2 linked regions of the Drosophila melanogaster genome follow. The protein of the gene in region 1 interacts with the protein of each later gene in a pairwise test. Each region holds a gene or a part of one and is shown on either strand. Other genes may lie near its edges.

Region 1 (7,212 bases):
GGACCGATTACTTCAAAGTCGCCCACCCACCCATCTTATCGAAAACCACATCCCCCCACATGAAACCCCAAGCCCCATCACACATCACTTGGCCATAGCTCACCTCAAACGACCACAATTCGGAGGGTTTAATCTGTTTTCTCATTTTGGGGCGCCGACTGGTTTACTTAACTTGAAACAATGAGAATTGTGAATTAACCGGAAAGCGGCAAGCAAAACCACATGTGGCCGTAATAGCCACTTTCGTCTTGACGACAAATGAATTTTGTTTGTAAAAAAAATTTGTTGTTAATTGGTAACAGTATTTCGAAGTAGCCTTGATTCTCGACAGTTTAGTAAGTCAATAAAATCAATACATTTTTGCACTTATTTATAAAAATATAATGAATAATTTCATTGATATTAGATAATACCTGAAATACCTGAAATTTTGCGAAATACATCCACAGATTATTGCATTCATTTCCAAGTCAGTCCAAAATAAAATGTGTAATGCAAAACAACCCCAGACTTCCCGAATTCATTATAATTAAGAACCCTCGCCTTGGGCCTTTTTGATCATTAAACATTGACGATGCCCACGCCGTGAATTATGCTCCATCATAAACTTATGCCCGATGTACAGATGCTGGGCATAAAAATTGTGTAAATGAAAACTGCGCCCAGTCAGCAGCAATAAAACATCAAGTCAAGTCTGGACCGGGATTAGGATTCGGACCTGGATTCCATATCGCTTTAATGGGCGGCGACACGACGAGAAAGCCACCGTGAAGATCTGCGAATTAAGATAGATAAAAATATGAGACAGCTGACACTAAAAAGGAGAGACACCACCAAGTACTCATCATAATTAATGCCGCTGGGGTTGGGTCGCCATAAAAGCCGGCAAGGATTCATATGGATAATTAAGTTATGGCGGGTGCCAACAGAAGGGTTAAAGCCTCCCTCCGCGATTGCATAACCAATAAAACGATCGTAAAATGTTGGCCAAGCACTCAAAGTTTTTGGGAACATGTTCCTTAGGCGCATATTTTAATTTCAAGATGGATTTTAAACGGGCCTAAGGTGGTGGGGGTGGTCATAAAATTTCAACTGGGCGTCATCAAATGCACTCATTTTTTTAAGTTACAAAATTTATTTCGTTAAAACGAAAAACGAAAGTTACCGGGTTCAAAATTAAAATCCGGTTTAGCGGGAAAATTATTTAAATTATGTTAAGAATAAAAATTTGTTCACCTTTTTATTTTGTCGTTTGACCAGACATTTATTTCGCATATTGATTATTTAACTTAAGACAACTTATATTTAACACATTTTAATACATTGTTTGTTGTATGTTTAGAAATAAAATTTTCTTGGCATTTTGAAAATATTCTTTAATTACAGTATTATTTCTACCAACTACTGGTGTAACTCTTCAAAACCTTTAAGCTATTTTCTCTGTTAAAAAATGGCTTGATATTTTGTTATGTATTTTTTATCATTGATTAAAATCGATTTGGAATGCTTGGAAATTGGCTGAAATCGTTTCCGTTCTCATGTACCGGCCATAATATGAGAATCAACCCACCCCCGAAACTCACACCACCAATCAGCCACTGAGTTCAACAGTCTTCTAACCCCTTCTGCTGGGGCTTCTGAATGCCAGAATCGTATCAGTTGGCAGATAGAACAAACTTTTATGCGCTTGTTAACAAAAGCGTGAAATTCAATGCCCGGGACGAGCTGAAGAGTATAAAAAAAAAAATAAAAGAAAAATTTACGACACTGCGAATTAAACTTGATTTTTATTTAAATAAATTGCATTTTATATTCCGCCTTATCCTGCGCCCCCGTGGCTGTCGCAATAATAAGCAGGCAACGCTCATAATTTGCACCGGAATTCGATGATGATGCTGGTGGATAATGGCGATTCGGCGGGAGTGGGAGTGTGTGTATTTTCCCCAGGATAAGGCAGGATGTGGCAGGATCAGGCAGACCGAGTGACTGACTGGCGACGGTTTGGTGGCTGCTTTATGCATTTTTATTTATTACAGCGCCAGGAAATGTTTGTTGATTTTCCGCTGCTCGGTTGCCACAATAAAAATCCACGCCAGCCAGAAATTATTTTCTAGACGAACGCGCCCTGCTTAAATCGCATAAAAATGAGCAGGCGAAAAAATACTTCAAATCGTATAGAATTCTTTTTTTAAACGAGTATATCATTAAAAACGGAAATGTTGTGCGTCGCAATGAAACGTAAACGCTTTGAAAGGATCCAAGTGAAACGAATTGATAGCGGTCTATTCTAAAAGCTTCATAATAAGTTTGAAGTTGAAAAGCCTTCGTAAATTAAACTTTCTTAAAAGAATCCCTGATAAAAATGCTTTAAAAAGAGTGTGCTATCTGTTTGATTGAATTAATTAAGGAGGCATAATTTACAGAAAGAATACCTGCAATCTTTGGGCCATGTAGAAGCAGCTTAACTGAAGGAAAAAAAATACACAAAAGACTAGAATAAGCGGAATGTACCTACAATAATACCTAACTTTATTGACAAACGTATTGGCTAAGTGAAAAACTTTTGGCTAGCCTCAATCTAGATTTTTAGCTCTACATAGATAGGGTTCAACGGTATGCAGCGTGATCACAAAGTTGAGCTTCAACTTCACCTGTCGCTCGCCAAGGGGCTCGAACAGGAAGTTCCTCAGCAGGTGAGCTAGCACCATTTTGAGCATGACCATCGCATACCGCTGGCCCATGCAACTCCGAGCCCCCGCCATAAAGGGTATAAAAGTGGTGGCCTCAATTTTGGGCTCCGCTCCAATTGCCCAGCGATCTGGCTTGAAGACCATCGGATCCGGAAAGAAGTCCTTGCAACGTCCCATGTAAATTGGTGAAATGATTACATCGCTACCCTTCGGTATGAAGAAGTCATCTAGAAAGTTTAAAATATTTGTATATATATAACTAGGAACAAATAACAATATGTACTTACTGATTGTGCAGTTGGCTGTGGCTTTTCTGGCAGTGAGTGGACCTGAAGGATACATCCGCAGAGTTTCCTTTATACACGCCTCCAGGAACTCCAGTTGGCGCACCTGCTCTATGGAGATGGGTTCACTTTTGTCCTTGCCGCATACCGACCACACCTCCTCGCGACATCGCTGCTGGTGCTCCGGATGAAGAGTCATGTTATACATGAAAAAGTTGAGGGTGGTGGCCGTGAGATCGAATCCCCCAAATATGATGGTGTCCACTTCCTCGCGAATATCCTTGACTGTCAAAGGCTTGCCATCGGGACCCTTGGACAGTAGCAAGGTGTCCAGAAAGCATAGGGTCCGCTTCACTCCGTCCAATTCCGCATCACTGCTCTGGTAGTTGCGATTCTCTGCATCCTGGTTGATTTCATCAATACGTTTCTGTATAATGCCCTCTGTGAATCCGTGAAGCGTTTTTATCAGCTCCTGTTCTCGCTTATAATGCGATGTGCGTTTGAAAATAAACGAGTTGCGGTAGAAGATGTTCTTCAGTCGCTTATCGATGATGACAAGGATTCTGTGAGCAAACGAAGATGTATAATATCAATATTAAAAACTAACGTAACCTGTAACTTGTATTTTTTCTATGGCTTCCAAGTAAGTAAATAAAAAAAAGGTCTGACTAATAAACAATTAAGCTATCTATAATGGGTTACGAAATTTTTATTGAACAAGCGTGCTGGATGAGTCTTTTATATCTTCTCAACTGTTTGTTTTGTTTAATTAATGTGCGAAAATTTTATGATTCATCACACCGTAGTTGCTGATTAAATACAAACTAAGTTGTCTCTAAGGGACTTGTAATACACGTGTAGTTTACTTACGATTTAACAGCATCGAGGTATTCCGACTTGGCGCTCGACTGCGAACCCACAGAGACTCCGAGGGCCGTTTCACAAATAGTGTCCAAAGTGAAGCAGCTGATCAGTTGCAGAAAGTCAATTTGATCCCCGGACTCGGCAAATTTAGCGACATTCGTCAAAAGAATCCTCGACTGCTTCTCAAAGACGGCAACAAACTGTTTGATCATGGTGTAGTTGAAGGCCGGCATTACGATCTTCCGGCGATGGGACCACTTCTCGAATCCACTGGTGAAGAGACCCTCGCAGAGCCAGTTCTCGAAGACCCTATAGTCGTTGGTCTTCTGCAGCAGCTGCTGGGCACTGCACAGAGCCTGTATATCCTTGGGATTGCAGTCCACGAGATAGAGCTTAGTGCCCATCCATAGTTTTGCTCGATGATCGTGTAGATGTTCGTTGATCATTTCGGTGGCTCGTCGAAGTGGATGCGGTCCCACCAATTTGGCTAGAATGTGCAGATGGCCAATGAATGGCAGGGCCGGTGGGGCTGGCCATTTGTGGGTGAGCCGGTCGATCCTGCTCTGCCGCTCGAAGACATATAGCAGGTATAGGGACAACGCGAGCAACAGCAATCCGAATCCCAGCCAGAACATTGCGACGGACGTTCTAAAGAGCAACTGCCTCGTTGAAGCGTCGCATCAAGCGTTTTAAGCGGAACACAGACGCGAAGATCAGACGGTTACTAAAGGGTCACCGGACCCAAGGGTCATAAAAGTTGGGTAACAAGCGAATTTACACAAGAAAAAACAAACCGAATCGGTGCACAGTGTATAAATTTAAAAAATAGTGTACAGCGACATATTTCTCACAAGCTGTCATTTACTATTCACAGTAAAATGTGATCATTCATTTGTTTTTTCAATTTGTAATATTATGCGCGGTCTAAATGATTAATTGTCACATAAAAGTGCCAAATAAAATTAGTTATCGATGTGCATTTTATGTCTTTTCTTTTAACACCATTCTATTTCAATTCATAAGCGAACCCGTCAAAAGGTGAATAGTATTTGAATAAAATCATTTGACTCTTATAATATTAGTCCATTCACAGTAGTATTGGATTTTTACATTAACATCTTCAAATAACCACTGTCTGGTGTTCTCTTTTTTTTTTTTTTTTTGAGTGCACAAACTAAACGATCTTAAATATTCTGCACTGGCTTAGTATTGCGCAAAAGCGCCGCGATTAAGAGCAACTGTCGGGTCGACTGCGTTATTAACACTGCGCATATTTATTTATACGAATTTCTTACACCCGAATATGTATATTATAAGCGTATTCAAATCGATGTGGAAGCGAAATTGAAGTGACTCTTTTTTGCTCGCCCCCCAGTCGCTTAAGTACTTAACATCGGGCATCGGAGATGTAAACAATACGTTGAGAATCGGTGAATCGTAGATTTCTAAGTCGGATTCGAAATGCTCTAGGATAGCATTGCTAAGTTCTTCAAATTTTCGCTATTATTTTGAAATTTCTATTATACATTTGCTACTTTTAACTTTAAAGTTATGATATAAGACACTAAAGTGTTCCAATTACTGCAGCCGTAGAAGAATACCTAATGAAATATATGATGATGAATATAGATGAAGTATGAGGATCATATAATCTTGTAATAGCAAATTGCAGCTAAGCCATTTTAGTATATTTTTCACGGTAACCAATTGTATAGCAAAACTTCAAGAAAACAAAAATACTTTTAGAATATATTGACTTTTGTTTCCATTGTAATAGTTGAGCTTTTAGAGTTCTTCTTTTTTACAACATCTAACTAAGTAGTAACATCCCTGAACTCAAGATTCGTCATGCCAAAATTCGCAAGCAAATACACTTCAATTTCATCGATGCTGCATCGTTTAATTTGCTGAATTATAATTTCGATTGTACTTTTGTCGGTTGCATACCAATTTCATAAAGCTCATAAAACTTGACGAATTATTGCGCTGGGGCCACCCATTTATGTGCATACGTGGAGAGAAATTGTGATTTCAATTTCCTAAAATGTTATAAACAAAGATAAGAGAATTTAGCTTACAGAAAGTACCTGATTTGGGAATAACGAAGTGGGCTGACCAGGATATTGATCAGTTTCCTACCACAAAAATTGTAATGAAGATAAATGCTTGGAAATATGCCAATAAAAAATACCACAACAAATACAGTTAACGAACATGAAGTGAATATTTATTGAATTAAAGTTTTGAATTGAAAAAAATTACAATTATCAGAGTCATCAGCTAAGAACAAACAAAACTGTACGAGTATAGCTGGCTTTAACTCCCCGCAATTAATGCGTAAACAGTGTGTCATATTTGTCAATTATATAATATCTGTTTTATTTTCATTATTACGCATAGAATACACATTCATTAAAATTCGCTCTACAGTTATGGGAACTTTATTGTGATTGTCATTTAATACACTCTTCAGGAGTTTGTGTTGTTGGTTTTCCTCTCGACCAACTGCCATTCAATTCAAATATACAAATAGTGACAGGTACAATAACTAAGGTAGTTCCCCTGCTCCACGATTACACTAATTAACACGAAAAAAGTTATCAGCCGACAAAATACACAATAAAAGAACAAGAGTAATTGTAATTAAAGCGAATGGGTCTGGGTTGCAATTAATATTCGCTGGTCAACATTTTATACAAAAATAATTCATCCTTCAATTCGCTACTTGTGTATATACATATCTCTGTGTTTCAGTTCCCTTCTCTTCCGGCGTTTCAGAAATTTTTATTTAAATAAGAGGACATTGAATGACATGCGTATGATTTTAATTAAAATTATTTTATTAGGCTCAGCTTTCAGATGTGTAATCACGATAGTGTGTATAACAAATGAGTAAACAAACTTGTATTACTATAAACTTATTAATAAAAAGTACGTTAAACCTAGTTTCAGCCAAGAAATAAATACTTATTTGAGTTCCTAATATTAAATAAACTGTGTTTATTTACTATTTAGTTAAGATGTGTGCAACATAAGAATGTTGCAAGTATTTTAGTTCTCATAAGAAAATGAAAAAATGTGCAGCATACCTTTAGGTTCATTAACGCAGTTATGTTGAAGTTATAAATAATTTATTTAAAATTTTATTACTGACATAAATACTTTAAAATTTAAAAAACATAGTTCTATTGCATTCGAATATTTCATGCCCCTTGCGCCTATATAAATTCAATTCAATGCCTCCGCATAATCGCGGATGCCACTCAATGCCACTAATCGGAACTAAATGGACAAAGCACGACAATAACCCTTTGAAGTCGAAGCGAAGCCCAACAATTGCGTTCGCGTAAATTCCTTATCTAATGGACGCCAAT
Region 2 (4,447 bases), on another chromosome or scaffold:
GGCCAGGAGAGTGCTCTACAAGAAGAGCGTTGGAGCAGCGGCAGTCGCCCAGAAGGCGCCCGGCGAGACCTACGTAATGCGCCTGTTTGAGCGAAGTTTGGACCTGTCCAAATACCAGGATAAGACTCCTTTGTACCCCATATGCCGCGCATGGATGGCAAATCAACCCAAGAATCCAGCTGTGGGTGCATTTCAAACAGATGCTTCACTCACGGCCACCAAACGTGAGGACAACGGCGAAGAAATCCTGTCCCAAATTAAAAGCGGCGAGATAAAGGTGATCAACCAGCTCCCGCAGGCCAAGTCCACGGATCTGCCCATAATTCCGCCTCGTCTGGAGTTCAGCCAGGAGGACAAGAAGCGGGAAAAGGCTCTCCAAGGTGCCAGTACCTCCGATCTTCTGTCCTCCAATATGAACCGCTGGAAGAAAGTGCGCGGACACTGGATAAAGCATATCAAGAAGTATGAAAAGGAGCGATATGAAGTTATTGACAAGATTATGAGCTTGGTCTGCAAAAACTGAAGCGTATCTAGGTGATTTTGGAAGTGGTATAGAAAATGAAAAATAATTTGGATTAATTGTGCACAAAGAATTAAAAAAAATCCTGTTTCCAAATCGAATATATATGCAAATAAGATGCTTGTACACTTTATATACTTATATAAAATAAAATCAAATTTGTCAAGTAGACCACTTCAAGTCTATCAAGAGAATGATAAAGCGTTTTTATATTTGCATATTTTCCTGATTAAAAAATAATATGAAATGCATTTGTATTGCAGCACGGAAAGGCAACCGCAGCTGATTTGATTGGATTATCCCAAGATTTTTGATAAGAAAGACATTTGTCATTGACTTGAATAAATGTTTATTTGTATTGGTAGAAGATGCGTTCCCTTTGCGGTTAAATTAGTTCTAGTTTAGAGCTGTGTATGAAGTTATCATTATTATTTTGGGTTGGCAAATGCTGCTGGATTGTTCTGGTTCCGATTATGATGTTCTTCGGCTCGTCGCCGGTGCGCCGGTCCGCAACCCCCTGCGATTTGGTTTGGGGTATACACATTGGGCATCCTGTGCGCCTATTCGACCTTGAGCAGCTCGACGTCGAAGGTGAGGGTGGAGTTGGGCGGAATGACGCCGGGGTGGCCACGGCTACCGTAGGCATAGTCCGGCGAGCAAATCAGCTTGGCGCGCTGGCCGACGCTCAACTGGGCAACTCCCTCATCCCAGCCACGGATGACCTCGCCCTTGCCGATGGTGAACTTGAATGGCTTGTTGCGGTCGCGCGACGAATCGAACTGCGTGGAATTCAAGGCGGATCATTAGCTGGGGATGGCGAGGATCGGGATTCGTACTCACCTTGGTGCCATCGTCCAGGGTGCCGGTGTAGTGGACCGTGACCTTTTGGCCATTCTTGGGATAGGTGCTGCCTGCGGGCGGGGAATGCAAAAATGGATGTGTGTGAGCGGGACGACCATATTGTCGCAGGTATTTCCGAATTGTGCATTGCGAAAATGCACTAAATAGGTTAGAAAGGCCGGTAGTTTACGGCATTTCTTGCGGATTCTAACCCAATCATTGGATACTCACCATCACCAGGAGCAATTGGAACTACTTGTACGCCCATTTCGATTAGTTTTTTTCTGGCAAATTACCGAGCGGAAAATAAGCACGTTGATTTCAGTTCGTCGCGTCGCCGAATGACAGCTAGCGGTGGGCGATGGTCGGTGAGCGGAAACTATCGCACACATCAATTTGATTAATTATCAAAACCAATTGCTTTCCGAGTTATCGATAAGGACGTTTTTGTATTTTGGCGCGTCCGTTTGAATTGTTTACTATGAACCGAAAGAATAAAGCAGTGCAAGATCTTGCCTCTTATCTTAAAGTCCGAGACACATTGGTCATTGGTCAACTTGTATAGGTCCCCCAAAAGTGTGCTAAGTATTAAATAAACATAACTATAGTTATATAATTTATTTAAATTCCTCGACTCAGTTATTTGTTATCAACTGTCACAGTTTGATTGCCATCACTCGCAGCTTTGTGTGTGGGGCTGCCGGTGTGAAGATCACTCGTCCTTCATCGTCCTTATAGTCGGCGTAGTCGATGGAATAGATGCACTCCATGCCCAAGGCCCCCTTCTGGCGAGCGGAGTAGAAGCTAGTGCAGAAGGCCATCATAAGGGGGAAACCATTCGATCGGCCCAGCTCCATCAGGGTGGCGGCCAGGCGGGAGCCCAGGCCCTTGCCCCTCTTCCACGAGGCCACGCTGGTCACGTGGGAGTAGAGCGCCTTCGGGATGTCGTAGCGCTCAAACAGATTGACTTCGCGCTTGGCCTTCATTAGTAAATGATACATTCGACCCCAAGCGTTATCCTCCACATTCTCGAGCTTCAAATTCAATGTTCCTGCATTCACATTATCGGGATAACTGGCACATGCCAGAACTAGACCCACAATCCGGCCACCATCGTTTTCATCCAGTGCCAAAAGGCTGGTGCCCTCGGCGATTATCGACTGGTTGAAGGCGTCGTTGATCTCCTCGTTCTGCTGGTGAACGGGTTCGCCGCTGGACTGGCACAGAGGCTCCGATGTGTAGTACTCAGCCTCCATATAGGCTTTTACCTGTGCATAATCCTCTGGGCGCATGATGCGTATCGTGACGCCATCTATTGTCGTGGGAGTCATCGCGATCCGGAGCTAATTCGTTCTATATGCTTTTCTTAAGACAGAAGAGGACGCCGATGTGTACATGGCTTTTATACTTCGGCGCTTATCACTGATAATGGCTTATCATATTTATAGATTGTTTCTGTTTGGCGAAGAGAAAGTTGTTTCCAACGGCTTTTGGTTTTATTTTTAATGAAGTGCCAGACTGACTTATCCTTTTAGTAATAAACATTTTTCGAATATGGTTTTCTGACCCAAAATCTTTGAGGATAAATACATCGAGTGGAAAGTGATTACTTAATATCAGATTTTGTAATTATTGCAAGGTCATGTGTCGATAAATACATAATCAACACAATATCTGAACAATAAAGTAGACCGTTCTACATTTTATTACTTTATTTGATCCATATGGACTTGCGTTTCCAGCTCGACGACCTTTATCAATTGCCAAGGCCAAAGTAATAATTAATTAATAAATTATTTTAATTTTTACATTTTTGAGGCCAAGACCCGAATGTGGGTATGGGGCGCTGGTGGATTATATATCGGCCGACCCAACTCGTCCTTGTAGTCAGCATAGGCCACCGAATGGATGCACTCACATCCCGCTTTCATCGCCGACCGGGAGGAGTAGTGATTGGTTCCGCTGGTGATGAACAGAGTGTGTCCCCGCAGGCGACCCAATTTAAAGAGACATTTGGAAAGTATGACCAAGATACCTCTTTGCCTCATTGAGGGGTGAACGGAGATGACCAGCAGACTCAGGTAGGAGGAGACTCCGAAGCGTTCGAAAATGTTGGCTTCGCGCTCCACTTTGGCTATAAATTTCCTGCTGCGACCCAAAGCATTTGGCTCCATTTCCTCGGCTTCCTTGTGCTGCTTGGCCATTTCGATGGGATCCATCGTCTCCGCCACGGCAATGCCAACCAGTAGTCCCCCGTTGTTATCGTCCAGTGCCACTATGGATAGTCCCTGCCTGATCACCGCCAGGTATTGCCTATCCACTTCCTCCTCATGCTGCAGGTGAATGGGCTCCTCGAGACCCATTCCCATGGGCTCGTCGTAGTGAAAGTAGTCCGTCATGAAGGTTTTCACTCTTGGATAGTCGTCCTCCTTCATAACTCGTACGGTTATGCCATCATTTTGACTAAGAATCATGTTGGACTGAGCAGCGATGTTTGGTTTCCCGGCTTGGTATACTATGGTTCATTCTACATGACTGCAGGAGCCTTTTAAAGAAACCGAACTGAGTTATCTACAAATACAAGTTCAAGAACTTCCATTGTTTGCTATATTCAAGGTGGTGCTCAAATAAGATAATACGTTGCATTTCCAAAAAAATGAACATGTTGGTATTAATCTTTTAATCTACCGATAGGTCTAATCTACAATAAGATACAGTTTCTTTAAGAGGAAGAGGAAAAAATTAAAGCAAGAGGTAATCACAATTCTTCTGCATCAGCAAAATGCAGTATTCATGAAGAATCTTACGTGCTTTCGGATTCGATTCGTGCCTGTCCGGATGACAGGATGGCGCGTTCTTCTGATCCATTGTCCATCCAGAAAATCTCCTCGTCTGTCCAATTCCGCATAATTTCAGATGGAGCGAGCACGTTTGCTTCTGCAAATGGCCAGATGTTGTTAACTATTGGCAGCAGCGATACTGTGTTTCCCTGTCCAGAACTCGATACGTTTGGATATATTTGAGAAATTTTCAAACATCTTCATAATAACCTGTCAAACAAAAGAGAATATCAGCATAACTGGCACG

Evidence for each region. Proteins that work in one complex are often made in the same cells at the same time.
Region 2: the proteins of Cyp312a1 (region 1) and Fkbp12 interact in a two-hybrid assay, tested with the Drosophila melanogaster proteins (one large-scale study listed by BioGRID).

What each region holds. Positions count from the first base shown.
Region 1 is NT_037436.4:18,127,594-18,134,805, forward strand, and holds Cyp312a1 (cytochrome P450 312a1), read right to left. Parts: upstream 5,097-7,212; 5' UTR 4,474-5,096; coding exon 3,845-4,473; intron 3,538-3,844; coding exon 2,978-3,537; intron 2,918-2,977; coding exon 2,574-2,917; 3' UTR 1,347-2,573; downstream 1-1,346. UniProt on the Drosophila melanogaster protein: May be involved in the metabolism of insect hormones and in the breakdown of synthetic insecticides.
Region 2 is NT_033778.4:19,287,370-19,291,816, reverse strand, and holds Fkbp12 (FK506-binding protein 12kD), read right to left. Parts: upstream 1,709-4,447; 5' UTR 1,629-1,708; coding exon 1,592-1,628; intron 1,432-1,591; coding exon 1,361-1,431; intron 1,300-1,360; coding exon 1,081-1,299; 3' UTR 855-1,080; downstream 1-854. Other genes in the region: mip40 (Myb-interacting protein 40), read left to right, coding at 1-523; AANATL4 (arylalkylamine N-acetyltransferase-like 4), read right to left, coding at 2,017-2,691; AANATL6 (arylalkylamine N-acetyltransferase-like 6), read right to left, coding at 3,166-3,834. UniProt on the Drosophila melanogaster protein: PPIases accelerate the folding of proteins. It catalyzes the cis-trans isomerization of proline imidic peptide bonds in oligopeptides.